Alligator mississippiensis: one gene and its partner. Each later gene encodes a partner of the first gene's protein in a complex. Links are inferred from orthologs where the notes say so. Each region holds a gene or a part of one and is shown on either strand. Other genes may lie near its edges.

The links.
Region 2: SPAG5 (region 1) and KNSTRN share a complex: the UniProt entries of both Homo sapiens proteins name them as parts of the astrin (SPAG5)-kinastrin (SKAP) complex. The link is inferred for Alligator mississippiensis from reciprocal best matches to the Homo sapiens genes SPAG5 and KNSTRN.

Annotation. Positions count from the first base shown.
Region 1 is NC_081837.1:1,040,958-1,048,345, forward strand, and holds the start of SPAG5 (sperm-associated antigen 5), read right to left. Parts: upstream 3,092-7,388; 5' UTR 3,077-3,091; coding exon 2,936-3,076; intron 2,818-2,935; coding exon 1,997-2,817; intron 1,910-1,996; coding exon 1,717-1,909; intron 1,268-1,716; coding exon 1,148-1,267; intron 826-1,147; coding exon 733-825; intron 1-732. Other genes in the region: RSKR (ribosomal protein S6 kinase-related protein), read right to left, coding at 3,619-3,843, 3,915-4,025, 4,126-4,214, 4,296-4,385, 4,567-4,594, 4,804-4,844, 5,112-5,219, 5,525-5,594 and 4 more. UniProt on the Homo sapiens protein: Essential component of the mitotic spindle required for normal chromosome segregation and progression into anaphase. Required for chromosome alignment, normal timing of sister chromatid segregation, and maintenance of spindle pole architecture.
Region 2 is NC_081825.1:241,491,384-241,499,164, forward strand, and holds the start of KNSTRN (small kinetochore-associated protein), read right to left. Parts: upstream 3,058-7,781; 5' UTR 3,043-3,057; coding exon 3,007-3,042; intron 2,824-3,006; coding exon 2,727-2,823; intron 1-2,726. UniProt on the Homo sapiens protein: Essential component of the mitotic spindle required for faithful chromosome segregation and progression into anaphase.

The sequences.
Region 1 (7,388 bases):
AGGCCCAGCTGGCACCCCAGACCAAGTGCACCCCCACACCCTGCCATTCAGGACCTGGGATAACCCTAGCAAGGCAAAGCTCCTCTGAAGCGGCAGTACCTGTGGCATGGCAAAGCCTTCCCAGCAGCCCTGGGCTCCGGACAGGCTACACACGGTCCCCAAGGCCCAGCAGCCCTGTGTGGACAGGGGCCATCCGGGCAGCTGCTGGGCTCTGGGGGAACGGCAGCATGACCAGGGGCTGGCTGCGGCCCCTGCCCCGGCTGTGACAAGGAGCGCGAGCGCTTGGCCAGCAATGGGCTGGCGAAGGCCGCGCCTGGGACTGGAAAAGCCAGTTTTTCCTTCTCCTCCGAGGAAGGCATTGGAGACAGTGGAAAATTACCAGCCAGGAGGCAGAACTGGAGGGAGCAGGGGAGCGTGAACGGAGCTGGGGGCGACAGGCCACGGGGAGCTCCGGGCCAAGGGGTGGGAGCAGGGCTGGGACTCTGGTGGGGACCGCACCCCACGTCCCTGGGGGACCCGACCCCAGAGAACCCAGCTCAGCCCAGAGCCCCGGGGATCCAGCCTCTGGGGGACAACGAGGGAAGACCCCGGTCTGGGGCCTGGGCTCGGCTACTGCAGGTTTCAAGGCTCCGGGGCCCCCCACTCATTGCAACTCTGGCGAGCAGCCAAGAGCGGGCACCAAGCCAGGAGGCTGCAAACGCCCTCGTGCCACCGCACCCGGCCCGGCCTCACCTCCTGGCCCAGGGCTCGCCGGTCGGTCTGCACATGCTGCAGGGAGGTGGCTGCGAAGTCCAGGAAAGCCCGCGACTGCAGGGCCCAGGATCGCTGGGGAAGGAAGCCGAGGCGTGAGGCACAGGTTTAGGGACCAGATCAACAGGGCTGCTACTAGGACGCGGGCACTGGCCAGAGGTGCGGCACCTGCTGCAGAGGTTCCTGGTGTGCGCAGAGAAGACCCGCAGAAAGGGTCCAGCCTGCCCAGAGCTACAACGCCCTTCCCTGGAGCCAGGCAGCCCCACACTGGTGCTGGAGGAGCCTGGGTAGGAGGCCCTGGGCATTCAGGAAGTGCCAGGTGCAGATGGCACAGGCAACAGGCCCTGACGCACTCCCCGCTGCCCGCAGCAATTGCTCCCCTCCCCCCGACACGTACCATCTCCCCTGTGGCCTGCTGGACGGCCTGCCGCAGGGCCCGTTCGCTCTCCCGCTGCCGCTGCAGGGTCTGGACTCGCTCTCGGGACTCCAGATACAGGTCATGATAAAACCGCTCCTCCTGGAAGACATGCCACCCCCGTCAGCGCTGCTGCCTGGGGGGGAAGGGGCAGGGGGCACCTCCCTACCCAGCAGGGCACTTTCCCCCGGGCACGGCCCTGCAGGAGTGCCCCACCCGCTCACGGTGCTCTCCCCTTGCAGCGCACGTGCGGCCAGGCAAGGGTAACCAGGACAGCGCTGACCCCGCGCGCCCAGCCAGGCGCGTGATGCGATTAGCGGGCCCGGGGCCCCAGCAGCTCTGCCAGCCCGCGTTACTTCCACCCGGCTTGCTGCGAAGACAGCGCGCCACTGGCTCTGCAGCCCAAACGCAGACTCCCATCACAGCCGCTCTGGCCAGGGAGACCCGGGTTCTGGGGAAGGTGCCGGGGCGTGCCGCGGGTGCGAAGCCCAGCGCTTGGAGGGGCAGGAGACCCGGGGGCGAGCACCGGTGGCCAGGGCAGGCCCTCTTACCGCTCCGGGATGGGCAAGGTCGGTCTGCGTGGGTGCATCTCGCTGCTCGGCCGGCCCCACGCCAGGCACCGACCCCTGCCTCTGCTGCCAGCCCTGCAGCTGGTACGAGAGGACCTCCACGATGATGAGGGTGCTCTCCAGCCGCCCCTCCAGCTCCGACCGGGACAGCGAGCTCAGCTGCTCTCGGAAACAGCTACAGGGGAAGGAAGAAATGCCCGAGCTGAGAGAGCCCCAGGAAGGTGGATGTGGCTCGATCCCCAACCCAGGGGCTAGCACTTACTGCCAGAGCAGAGAGTCGGTCTCAGCCGCGCTGTCCTTGGCGCCGCGGGGCCCAGCCCCGGAGGTGTTGGTGCCGCGCTCCAGCAGGGCCCGCGGGGTCATGGAGGTGCCCGCGGAGGTGGCCGAGACCGGGGTGACGCTGGTGCCGGCGTCGTGCTGCAGGGCGGGCAGCGACAGGCTCTGCCGCCAGGACTCCAGCAGGGCCGAGGTGCCCACGCTCCTCTCCAGCCAGGCCAGCGGGGTGGTCCACAGCACCGGAGACCCGGGCCCTTGGCCGGACGGCGGGGCGGCTGCAGGGGCTTCCTCCAGTGAGCACCCTGGGGAGGCACCGCCGCCGTCTGCCCCGAGGGCAGGCCCAGGGGACGCCTCTCCCGGCTCCGGGGAGCAGGGCTGGCTGGGGAAGGCGCCGTCGCCGCCTGGCGCAGACGGGGTGCCCGCGTTGCCATCCGAGCCGCCGGGGGGCTGCGGGGAGCCTGATGCAGATGGCAGGGCCTGGGGGCTGCTCCCCAGGGGGCTCCCGGGGACGTGTCCTGGAGCGGAGCCCTCCGAGGAGCGCGGCGCAGGCGGGGGGCTGCAGGCTGGGGCCGGGGGCTCCGTCCGCACCGCGCCGTCCCCCCTCGCCGCGCTCCCAGGGTGCGGGCAGGTCGGCCCCAGTGCGGGGCTGCGGGGCCAGCCGGGAGACTCGCCCTCGGCGCTGGATCCGGACGTGTCCGGCGTGCTGGTCCTCCACCAGGCGCCGGCCGCCGCGGGCACGGAGCTGGGGGCCAGGACCAGCGCCCCCCGCTTCTGGGCCACCGGCGTGCGCGGGGTGCCGCAGTCGTCCTGCGGGGGCACACCCCGGTCAGCCGCGTGGGCCCCCCCCGGCCAGGACCCCCCCAGCCACATCCCTGGGGCAGCCCCTCCCCAGCCAGGACCCCCCACCCCTGGGGCAGCCCCCCACCTTCAGGCGCAGGCGGCGGAGCAGCGGGGTGAGCGCGGAGGAGCCGCGGGGCAGGTCGCGCAGGGGCGCGCGGGGCGCGGGGCTGCAGGGGCCCCGCTCCCGGCCCCGGCCCCGCTCCCGGTTCTCGTCCGTGGCCGGCATGCCCCCGCGCGCCGCGCCGCGCCGCGCCCCGCGTTTGAAAATAGCGCGCAGCTCCCATTGGAGGCGGCCGTGCAACGTCACGGCACGGGGGCGGGCCCCGCGTCGCCCCGCCCACCGGGGGGTGGGGCCGGCTCGGAGCCGCAGCGCTGCGGCCGAGCGCCCGACCTCAGTTTACCCTTCTGCAGCTTGCGCCCATTGCTCCTTCTCCTCCCACCGCAGCCGCGGCCTCCCCTGAGTCCAACGGAGGGGAGCAGCCCTGCCCTTCACCCGCGGGGGCGGTGCAAGGGGCAGCCCCCACTCCCCAAGGAAGACCCCCACCCTGACCCTGCCACAGCCACAGCCACAGCCACACACACCAGCCCCAGAGAAGAAAGTTTATTGCTGGTCTGCCCCGCAGGCCCCGGGGCAGGAGGACGGGGCTACAGCAGGCAGTGCCGCCTGCCACTCCCCTGAGATGCCGGTGGCGGGTCCGGCGCAGCGGCGGGTTCCTGAGTGTCGGGCGGTGGCCGCGGCCCGGTGCGGGGCAGCCCCGCAGGGCGCCCTCAGCCTGGCCAGGGCTGGCCGCGGGGGGCCAGGAGGTCACAGTCGAAGTCCGTGAAGGCGACGGCGGCGTCCAGCGTGGTCTCTGGTGCCCGCGGCACGGCCACGGCCACAGCCACAGGGTGCTTCTGCAGCAGCTGGGGGTCGAAGGTCACACCCCGAAAGAAGGGGTGGGCCTTGAAGTGGTGCAGGTGGTGCGGGCGCTGCAGCGGGGTGCGGCACAGGAGCTGGGGGGGAAGCCGGGCGTGAGGGGCCGCGGGCAGCGCTGGGGGATGGGGAGGTGGGCAGCGGGCATTACCTCGCTGAGCAGGAGGGACAGCGCCCGGCTCAGGCTGGGCGGCATCGCGTAGCTGCACCGGGTCACGCTCGCCAGCATGGCCACGTGGTCTCTCTCGGGCGCCACGGGGAACTGGGGGCACGGAGAGGAAGGGTCAGCGCCTGGGCCCCTCTCCCCATTGAGCCCCTTGGGCTCGGGCCCGGCTGGGGGCCCGGAGCAGCACGGCCTTCACCTGTCCCGTAGCCAAGGCGAAGAGCACGACCCCCAGGGACCACCAGTCAGCAGCGTGAGTGTAGGGACCTCCGCTCAGCACTTCGGGGGCTGTCGGGGAGATGAGGAAGTGTCAGGGTGGGCGCGGGCCCCGGCCCCAACCCTCACCCCAACCCCAACCCCGCAGCTCACCCATGTACTGCAGCGTGCCGCAGATGGTGTAGGCACGCTCCCCCCGCGGCAGGTGCCGGGAAAGGCCGAAGTCCGTCAGCTTCAGGTGCCCTGCAGGGAGGCGCGGGGGCATCACCGGGCTGCCCCCACCCTGCGCACCCCTGGCCCGGCCCCATCCTGGGGCTGTGGGTGGAGGAGGGGGCCTCCCCTCCCAGCCCAGTGCCCCAAGCCGAATACGCTTCCGTTGAGAGGAGGGGACCAGCCCCGGGACGGGCGCCCCACCGGGCTTTACCTCGCTCGTCCAGGAGGATGTTTTCCATCTGCAAGAAGGAGACGGCGGGTTATGTCGCTCCCGTGCCCAGGACACAGGAGAAGCGCAAGAGGTGGCAGGGTCCCTTGCCCCGGTGCCCCGAAGCCCCTGCCAGCAGGGAGGAGGGAGCCAGTGGGGCCAAGGCACCCGAGCCTGGCAGCTAGCACCCCCATGGCAGGGCACCGGCACGTGGCAAGGCCGGACGGGGCCACATCGTACCTTCACGTCGCGGTGCACGATGCCCAGGTCGTGGAGGTACCCTGGGGGGAGGCGCAGCATCAGCAGCCCGGTCCCCTCCCCACGGCTTCCCCAGCCCATCCCAGAGCAGCCCCCACAGGAGACCTGGAGGGGACAGTGGAGCTCCTGGGGTCTGGCCGGCCCCTCCAAGGGGGCAGCAGGAGGCACAGACCAGCCTGGAGCAGGGTGGGAGCCCAGCAACCCCCACCGGTGCTGGGGCTCCCGGAAGCATCGCCAGGGCAGCCCGGCAATGCCCACCAGCTCCCTCCGCCCCGGCGCCGGCCACTCACCCAGCACCAGGATCAGCTCGGCCGCGAACAGGCGCACGGTGGCTTCCTCCAGGTGCCCCGAGGCGGCCCAGAGCGCGTGCAGGTCCCCGGTGCTGCAGTACGTGCACACTGCGCAGGGCGAGCAAACAGACGCGCTGCAGCCCAGCCGCCCCCAAGAGACCCCCCCTTCCCCTGGGGGAGCCGGGAGCAGAGCAGGTCCCACACGGCTTCCCGTCACCCCCACACCACGCACCGCTCTCCCCCGGGGCAGAGGCAGCCCCTGCCCCTCTGATCTGCGGGGCAGCAAGCAGCGCAGCTAATCCAGGGATTGCAGCCGCCGGCTTAGCGTGGGGCAAGCGTGTGGCAGAGACGTGCGCAGGGGGAGCATGTGCAGGGGACCGGCTCCCGCCGGCCAGCAACAGATGGTCACTCACTGATGAAGAGGTGCCGCTGTCCCTGCCAGCTGTCCCCGAGGCAGTGAACAAAAGGATGCTGCACCCGCCGCTGGCAATGGAGGGAAAGGACCCGTGAGTACCCGAGCCAGGGTGGGCAGGAATAGGCAGGGCCCGCAGGAGGGCTCAGCCCCTGCCCAGCCCCCCTCTGATGTGGGGCACCAGTCCCTGCCTGAGAGCCAGGGAGAGGAGCCGGCTGCCCCACATCCCCCAGCCCTGGCAGGTACCTGGATGCTGACTTCCTCCTTGCACTGCTTCAGGGTGTCCCGCCGCAGCACCTCCACCTTGGGCACCACCTGCGAGAGGCACGGCAGGGGTGAGCGGGAGCGGCACGGCCTGGGCACAGGCAGGGCGGTGCAGGACGGGCACTCACCTTCACCGCGACCACCATCTCCCGCCTGCAGTCCAGCACCTTCAGGACCGTGCCGAACGAGCCCTTGGCCACAAAGCCCAGGACCTGCCGGAGGAGAGGGCGGAGGTTGGCGCCAGGACAGCTTGGAAGCCATTAAGCCGGGTTCAAAAAAGGGGCCGGACGTGTGCTTGGAGGAAAAGGGCATTGGCAGGTACCGGGCGCGGGGCACGGCCTCGGCATCGGAGCTCCCTGGACCTTAAATGCTGCAGGCCGCGAGGGAGAGGCAGAGGGGAAAACCCTGCTCAGCCCCGTTCGGCATCACACCCTGCTGCCGCGCCACGCAGGAGACGGGCCAGCACCGGACCCAGAACACGGCAAGTCTTATGTTTTCATGGCACTCCCAGGCCCAGGCCCAGGGGCACGCAGACCGGAGCCCTGGAGCAGAAAGGAGACCCCGGGGCCAGAACCACCACAACCAGAGCCGGGGAAGGGGTTGAGGAGGCTCAGGCTCGTGTCCCCCGGGGGCTGGCAGAGGAGAGTGCCCGGGAGGAGGTGGGGAGGCTGGGACGGCCAGGGCTGAGGCCGGGCTCTGTCCCGGGGGCCACGCGACCGCCCCCAGCCCAGCGGGCCCCGCACCTTGAGCTGCTGCTGGCGGATGGGGGGCCGCACGGGGAACTCGGGGAGGAAGAGGGCCACAAACTGCGGCAGCGGCCACTCCGACACCACCTTCTGCACCAGCCGGGGCAGCTGCTCAGCCACGGGGATCGGCCCCCGCGGCGACTCGGCCCCCTCGTGCCGCCTGGCCACCAGGACCCGCTCCAGCCCTGACACGGCAGTCCCCACGCTGCACAGGACACGCTTCCAGCTGCGGGGCCAGGCAGGCTCGGCCGCCACACCACTGCCCTGCAGAGCCAGCGGAGCAGGGGTCACCTGCTGCGACCTGCTTGGGACCCGGACCCAGCCCTGTATGGCACTCCCCATTCCCCCCCAGGGATCCTAACCCCCCACCCCTCGCAGCCACTTGACCACTCCTATCCCCAGCCCCCATGCTTAACCCTGCACCCGCAGCCCCGCGACCCCCTGCCCGTGGACAGACCGTGAACGATGCCGGCGCGGTGCGGGGGGCGGCCGGCTGGGGCTGGCTGCTGGCGGCTCCCATGGCCCCTCCGCCCTAGCCTGCCGCCCACCCCGTACGCCGCATGGCTGGAGGATCCTCGCTAGGCAGCCCCTCTAATCCCTGGACCGTTACATAAATGCCCTAATCCCCACGGCTGAGGACTGCTCGTTAGCATGCAGGCCCGCTCCTCCCCTTTGCATAATGAGCACCGCCCATGGCCAGGCCCCAGCCCCACGCACAGCTGCCCCATGCCCCCCCAGACTGCGCTGGCCACAGGGGGGCTCTGCCAGCCTCCCCCCCCAGCTGTGCCCAGGTGCCTCACAGCTGGATGGTCCCTGCCACCAGCACCACCCAGGTTGATGCAAAGCCAGCATCTC
Region 2 (7,781 bases), on another chromosome or scaffold:
TCTGGGTGCTTGTGGCAAAGCCCCCCAGCGCAGCAGGGATTGTCCCCCCTCGTGCTTGCTTGGCACCTATGCAGCAGCTGCCCTATGCCACAGGTGCCGTGCAGCTCAGCAGGGTGCTGTGTGCTGTCCGAGAGCTGGGGCTGCTCCACCTGTCAGCCAGAGCCCAGCATCGCTCAGCCCCAGCTCCCAGACAGCGTGCAGTGCCCCGCTGAGCTGCGCTGCACTTGCGCAATGCAACAGTTGCCGCGCAGGTACCAAATGGGGGGGCTCCGTCATGAGTACCCAGAGGCCCCAATTGCTGCTCCTGCAGCAAGTGAGTATGGGACTTTAAAAAAAAAAGTGCCAGGAGGCTGGGCTGGGCATGGGGCCAGACAGGGCAGCCATGGGGGCTTCTGTGCCTGCCTGTCCTGGCAAGGGGAGCCACAGGGGCTATGCCCTGCTGTTATGGAGAAGGGGAGGGGGAGCGCAACGCAGGTGTGGCTTACTCTGGGCAGCAGCATGGCATAGCCCCTGCTCCCAGCGCTACCGTGTCCAAATTAGCACTGGGAGCAGGGGCTCTGCCTTGCTGCCGCTTGCCAGCTTCTGCAGGGAAGCGCAGGAGGTGGGCGCAGCAGCACTGGGAGCAGGGGCTATGCTCTGCTGCCACTTGCCCCCTTCCGCCTGGAGTGAGCAACGCCTGCATCCTGTCCCCCTCCCCGGCTGGGCAAGTGGCAGCAGGGCAGAACCCCTGCTCCCAATACTGCGCCCCCCTCCCCCCCCCCCCCCCCCTTCCGGGCAACTCGTCTCAGCCCCTTCCCTCCCAACCCCAACAGACTTACCAACTGAAGGCAGCCGTCAGCTGGCTGTTTAGTCTATGGCCAAATCGTCTGATTTGATTTGGAGATATGGTCCCCAAATCGGGCGAATTGAATCAGCTACCGAAGCTTTGCACAGCCGTAGTCATTATCACTTATAGCATGCAGGAACCATTTCAGGAATCAGATAGTGTGCAGAGTCAGTATCTGTCTGCTTGACTGGTGCTTGTGTGCTACCCCTGGGAATTTCTCCCCTCTCCAATTTCAGAGCTCTACCCATTGTTCTCAATCATCGCTATGCATGCTTCCCTCCCCTGATCTGAAGAATACCTCAGCCAAAAGCTTGTTTTAATTCTACCCCAACCTTGTAGTTGGTCCAATAAGAGATACCGCTAACAAAAAAAAAACAAAAACAAAAAAAACCTCGCCGCTCTCTCAATTCCAATTGGCTGAACCAATTGCAGCTACGTTACCAAATAATAAATAGTAGGCCGATTTCTCCAGGGCTCCACTGGACAGGAAAAAGGAAACCTAAGCAGAGCCTTCTTTGAAACTGCATCCAACACTTGCTTTCCCTTCTGGCATTTTGGACAGCAGCAAAACAGGGCCAGAAAGTGCAAACTCCCTGTGCTTCCACCTAGCTCTGCCCAGGTGAGCTCAGTGTGACAGAGGCAGGCTAGAGAAGGAATCAGGGCTGGAATAAATTGTACAAGCTACAATTGATCAACACACTGGGCTGCTTCTCAGGTCTAAGCCTTTCTGGGGGTGGCACAAAATGCCAAACGCACAGTTAACAACCCAGAAGTGCCAAGTTCAAGGCCACAGCAGGAGCACTCACCACGTGGCTTCGTCAGATTATAAGAAGTCTGCGAGTTCTGCTAAATACCTTGTCACACAACGACACAAAAAGGAGAGGAAGCCTCTCTCACTGCTTTCCTACCTATTTGCAAGCAACAGCCTGGATTTTGCCCTTTATCCCAGCAAACTTCAGCAGGGTGGATTTGTTTTAAAACCAAACTGATATAAATCATGATTTAAATCAGTGGTCAGAAAGCCACGATTTAATCATCACTTTCTACAAAAAGTGCACTCTTGTTGTTTGATATCTTCTATTCCTTTAACTTCTTGAAACTTTGCACTTTTAGAGAGGGGTAAGGGCTTGACTCTGTGTACATAAACTTGCAGAGAGACAAAAGGGCTGATTGGTAGGCAAATCAGGTCTGTTATCTCTTGTCTCCATATACTGCTGTTATCAAGGATATTATCTCTGGAGACACAAATCCAGAGTTTGAGAACTGAAACTAACCATCGCAGAGATACTTAATGGGATCTAGACTGAGCGCCAAGTCCCACTGGGTAGTATGGTTTTCTTTAATCTTTACTAATCTATAGAGGAGCCTTTGGGAACCCCATAAAATTGGGCCCTTAATATAGTCCATGGCCTGTTGTGACCTATTTACAAAACTTTTCTAAGAAGGTTACATGACTATATCGTCTCAAGTTGTATACAATTAGAAGTTATAATTCCTATTCCATGATGCCATCTTGGAATTTCAGAGAAATCACTAATCCAGGGCTCTGGCCAAAACACAGGGGCAGATGAAAGAGTGAGCTTTAACTTATCTTAAATTAAAACTGTCTTTATATAGGTGCTTTTTGAAAAAAAGCATCTTAACAAAAAAACAGATTCAATTTTTTTTTTAAATCCCGCTTTTATTTCTTTTTAAAATTGTTGATTTTTACCCACCCCGACCCTCAGCTTTACCAGCCCTAGCCCAACTCTTGTCACTGCAGCAGAGGAGGCCGCCAGCCCCTGGGGCACCCTCCGCCCCTTGTCGGGCCCCTCCTCTGCGGGACAGGCCGCCGTGCTCGGGGCTCCCAGGCGCGCTGGAAAACAGGCAGGCCCCGGCGAGGCCATGGGCGCGCACTCACCTGCCGGGGCGGCCCGGGGCAGCGCGCTGGCGTGCGAGGAGGAGTAGACGGGGATGCGGGACGGCTCGCCTTCCATGCTGCGGGGCGGATGGGCCGCCTGCGGAGACCATGGGTGTGACTCCTGTCCTCTGCAGGCCAGGCCAGGCCAGGCCCCGCCGGCCACCGCCCTCCCGCCCCATGCCCAGCCCCGCCTCCCCCAGGCAGGTCCCCGCCGCGGGGCCTGCAGGCGCGGGGGGGTGAAGGGTGGACCGTGACCGGGCCTGGGCCGCGTCCGCCTCACCCCTCGCGTCCGCCCCCGCCCACGCCCACCCCGCATGGATCGAGACCGCGACACGCATGAAGCCACGCCAGAGAGGCAGCCGGACCCGGCAACGCCGCCCCGACACACCTGCCCAACTCCCGCGGCCGTTTGAAATGGGAACAGCCCCTCAACCGCCCCGGGGAGGGAGGAGCAAACTCGCGCGCAGGCGCAGACATCGACGGGAGCCCCGAGGAAGAATGTGGGCGCATGCGCAGAGAGGAAAGCGAAGCCCTACTTTCTCTCCACCCAGGCAGGCTCGCCCTCACAAGGAAGGGGCAGGAGCGGGATGCCACGTAGGCCCCGCCCTCCCCCGGGAGGGGGCGGGCCCTCCTGGCCGGACGGGGAGAGATCCGCAGCCGGGGCGGGGCCTGTCGGGCACCGTCCAATCAGAGTGCAGGGAGGACGGGCCAAGGGGCCTCCTAGGGGTGCCTACTCCAAGCTCGAGTTGGGGGTGGGATTAGTGTTCCCTTGGTCAGGTGTAGGACAGCGGGGCTTTTTCGGCGGCGCCTGCCGCTGGTGCACATCGTCTCCCTGTGTGGGGGGACAGCTCCTCAGTGGGGAGCTTGATCGCAGTTCTTTGACGTAGCTGGTTGTTGTCCTACCGAAAACAGGCAACACAGCCCCTTCTCACCAGGCACCCGCGCTGCCTGCTTGTTCATGTATTCATTGGTTTGGTTGTCTGCTGTCTAGGCCGATTGAGGCCCCCATGGTGAGGGCAGGGGCTGGTGGCGCTGCCCAGACAGGACAGTGCGCGGGACACAAAGGTGGGGAACGGGCAGCTCGCCCAAGGGTGCAGGCTGGGGGGAGGGGTGCAGTTCCCCACTGCTGCGCACACGCCCTAGGGAAGGCATGAGGGAGGGGGGCAAGTGTTCCCCGCCATATTTGTGTATAGCACCAATATGAGTTGCTCATTGTGGGCTCAGGACTCTCCACTCTGCAGCCTTTCCCTTGGGAGCCCCATGCCAGCAGCACACCCCCTGCCTGCCCAGCAGCACGGTGCTGCGGGTTGTGCCCCTTGCTGCTGCGTGGGCAGGGAACGTGCGGCTGCTGCACAGCCCTCGGCAAAAGCAGCAGAGTGGAGAGCCCTGAGCCCACAGCAAGGAGCCTGCATTCACCCTTGCCCACTGGTCCACTCTGGCTGTGGTGGGGATGGGGCAGGGAGGAAAGGCAGACATAGATTCATAGATTCATAGATGTTAGGGTCGGAAGGGACCTCAATAGATCATCAAGTCCGACCCCCTGCATAAGCAGGAAAGAGTGCTGGGTCTAGATGACCCCAGCTAGATACTCGTCTAACCTCCTCCTGAAGACCCCCAGGGTAGGGGAGAGCACCACCTCCCTTGGGAGCCTGTTCCAGACCTTGGCCACTCGAACTGTGAAGAAGTTCTTCCTTATGTCCAGTCTAAATCTGCTCTCTACTAGCTTGTGGCCATTGTTTCTTGTAACCCCCGGGGGCGCCTTGGTGAATAAATCCTCACCAATTCCCTTCTGTGCCCCCGTGATGAACTTATAGGCAGCTACAAGGTCGCCTCTCAACCTTCTCTTGCGGAGGCTGAAAAGGTCCAGTTTCTCTAGTCTCTCCTCGTAGGGCTTGGTCTGCAGGCCCTTAACCATACGAGTTGCCCTTCTCTGGACCCTCTCCAGGTTATCCGCATCCCTCTTGAAGTGCGGCGCCCAGAATTGCACGCAGTACTCCAACTGCAATCTGACCAACGCCCTATAGAGGGGAAGTATCACCTCCCTGGACCTATTTGTCATGCATCTGCTGATGCACAATAAAGTGCCATTGGCTTTTCTGATGGCTTCATCACACTGCCGGCTCATGTTCATCTTGGAGTCCACCAGGACTCCAAGATCCCTTTCCACCTCTGTGCCACCCAGCAGGTCATTCCCTAGGCTGTAGGTGTGCTGGACATTTTTCCTCCCTAGGTGCAGCACTTTGCATTTCTCCTTGTTGAACTGCATCCTGTTGTTTTCTGCCCACTTGTGCAACCTATCCAGGTCTGCCTGCAGCTGTTCCCTGCCCTCCGGCATGTCCACTTCTCCCCATAGCTTTGTGTCATCTGCAAACTTGGACAGAGTACATTTCACTCCCACGTCCAAGTCGCTGATGAAGACATTAAAGAGTATCGGTCCAAGGACCGAACCCTGCGGGACCCCACTGCCCACACCCTTCCAGGTCGAGACCGACCCATCCACCACGACTCTTTGGGTGCGACCCTCTAGCCAATTCGCCACCCACCGGACTGTGCAGTCATCCAAGTCACAGCCTCTTAACTTGTTCACCAGTATGGGGTGGGATACTGTATCAAAGGCCTTCCTGAAGTCTAAGTATACGACATCCACCCCTCCTCCTGTGTCCAGGCGTTTCGTAACCTGGTCATAGAAAGAGACTAGGTTGGTCAGGCACGATCTGCCCGCCACAAACCCATGCTGGTTTCCCCTCAGCATAATTTGCCCTGCCGGGCTCTCACAAATGTGAGCCTTGATAATTTTTTCAAATACTTTACCAAGGATGGAGGTGAGACTGACCGGCCTATAGTTGCCCGGGTCCTCCTTCCTCCCCTTTTTGAAAATGGGGACCACGTTAGCCCTTTTCCAGTCCTCCGGGACTTGGCCCATGCGCCACGAGCATTCGAATATTCCCGCCAGTGGCTCTGCAATGATGTCGGCCAGTGCCTTCAGCACCCTCGGATGGAGCCCATCCGGGCCTGCCGACTTAAAGGCATCCAGTTCTTCCAAGTGACTCTGCACCACCTCAGGATCTACGTATGGAAGTCTGGCGCCTTGCTGCTGCCTCTCTACAACCCCAGTGAGAGACTTGTCATGCCCCTCACTTAGGAACACTGAGGCAAAGAACTCGTTGAGGAGTTCAGCCTTGTCCCCCCTATCTGTCACCAATTGTTTCTGCCCATTTAGCAGCGGTCCTATTCCTCCCTGGGCCTTCCTTTTACTCCCAATATATCTAAAAAACAATTTCTTGTTGTCCTTTACTTGGGTTGCCATCCTCAGCTCCATGGTAGCTTTGGCCCGCCTAACTGCCTCCCTACAAGCACGAGCAGAGGAGGTATATTCATCTTTAGTGATCTCACCCTGTTTCCACTTTTTATGTGCTCCCCTTTTGGCCCTTAGGCTGCCCTGGATTTCTCTGGTCAGCCATGGAAGCCTCCCGGCCCCTTTCCCTCTTTTGCCTCGCTCGGGGATCGTCTTGCTTTGTGCCCGAAGGATCGTTTCCTTTAGGCACAGCCACCCTTCTTGGGCTCCCATCCCATCAAAACTCCTACTCTGCAGTGCTTCCTTGACTAATCGCCTGAGTGCATTGAGATCAGCTTTCCTAAAGTCTAGCACTTTCACCCTACTAGTTACCTTACCCACTCACCGTCTTATGTTGAATTCTATTATAAGGTGATCACTGTCTCCCAGATAGCTACCGATCTGGAGGTCCCCTATCATGTCATCTCCCGTTGCCAATACTAGATCCAGTATGGCATTCCCCCTAGTGGGACCATGCACCTCCTGTGTCAGGTGGAGGTCCTGTACACAAGTTAGAAACCTGCGTGAGCGATGGGACCTTGCTGTCTGCATCTCCCAGCAGATGTCCGGGTAGTTTAGGTCCCCCATGACTACCGCCTCTTTAGCTTTTATGGTCTCCGAGAGTTGCCTCAGGAGCCCCGCATCTATTTCTTCCCCTTGGTGTGGGGGTCTGTAACAGACCCCTACCACCAAATCCCTTTCTCCTTGCCCCCCATGTAGCCTAACCCACAATCCTTCTACTTCCTCAACCTCGGATTCTGTCTTGATGAGGGTTGATGTGTATTGCCCCCCCTTTCTTCCCCGACCTGTCCTTTCTATACAATCTATAGCCCTCAATATGTACCGCCCAGTCATGGGATGAATCCCACCAGGTCTCTGTTAGCCCCACTAAGTCATAGGTGTTTAGTGCAAGCAGGAGCGCTAGTTCATCCTGCTTGTTCCCCATGCTCCTAGCATTAGTATATAGGCACTTGAGCCCTGTGACTGGTGCCTTTGCTGCCCCCCCGCTCCGAGTCCCAAGGGGCCCATTGTTTCTTACCTTCTTGTTTGTTACCTGTTCTGTAGTGCTGGCCTCCCCATGGCTTTCAGGTTCCCAATGTTCTCCTTCTTCAGGCTGGGCTGTCCTTGTGGGTGCCACACGGTTTGGTGGTCCACAGCTTCCCCTGCCCTCGTACTCCTCTCCCCCCGATGAGCCTAGTTTAAAGCCCGCCGGAGGAGATCCGCCAACCTAGAAGAAAACACACGCTTACCTTTGGGGGACAGGTGAAGCCCATCCCAGCTGAGCATGTCCCTCGTCGTGATGTGCGGGTCATTGTCCAGGAAGCCGAAGCCTGCCTCGAGACACCACTGCCGAAGCCGCCAGTTGGTCTCTCTGATGCAGTTCTCCTGCCGTCTTCCTCGTCCGGTCACTGGTAGGATGGAAGAGAAAACCACCTGGGCACCGAACTCCTTCAGCACGCCACCCAGAGCACAGTAGTCCGCCATCAGGTGATCGGGGGTTCTCCTGGCCGCATCATTAGTACCCACATGGACTAGGACCATGGGGTAATAATTGGTGGGCTTGATCCTGGCCTGGATTACCTCCGTCACATCCCGAATCTTTGCTCCAGGGAGGCAGCATACCTCTCGTGCTGAGGGGTCCTGGCGACAGATGGGTCCTTCCGTACCTCTCAGGATGGAGTCTCCTATGACGAGCACTCGTCGCCTCCTCCTCTGGGTCA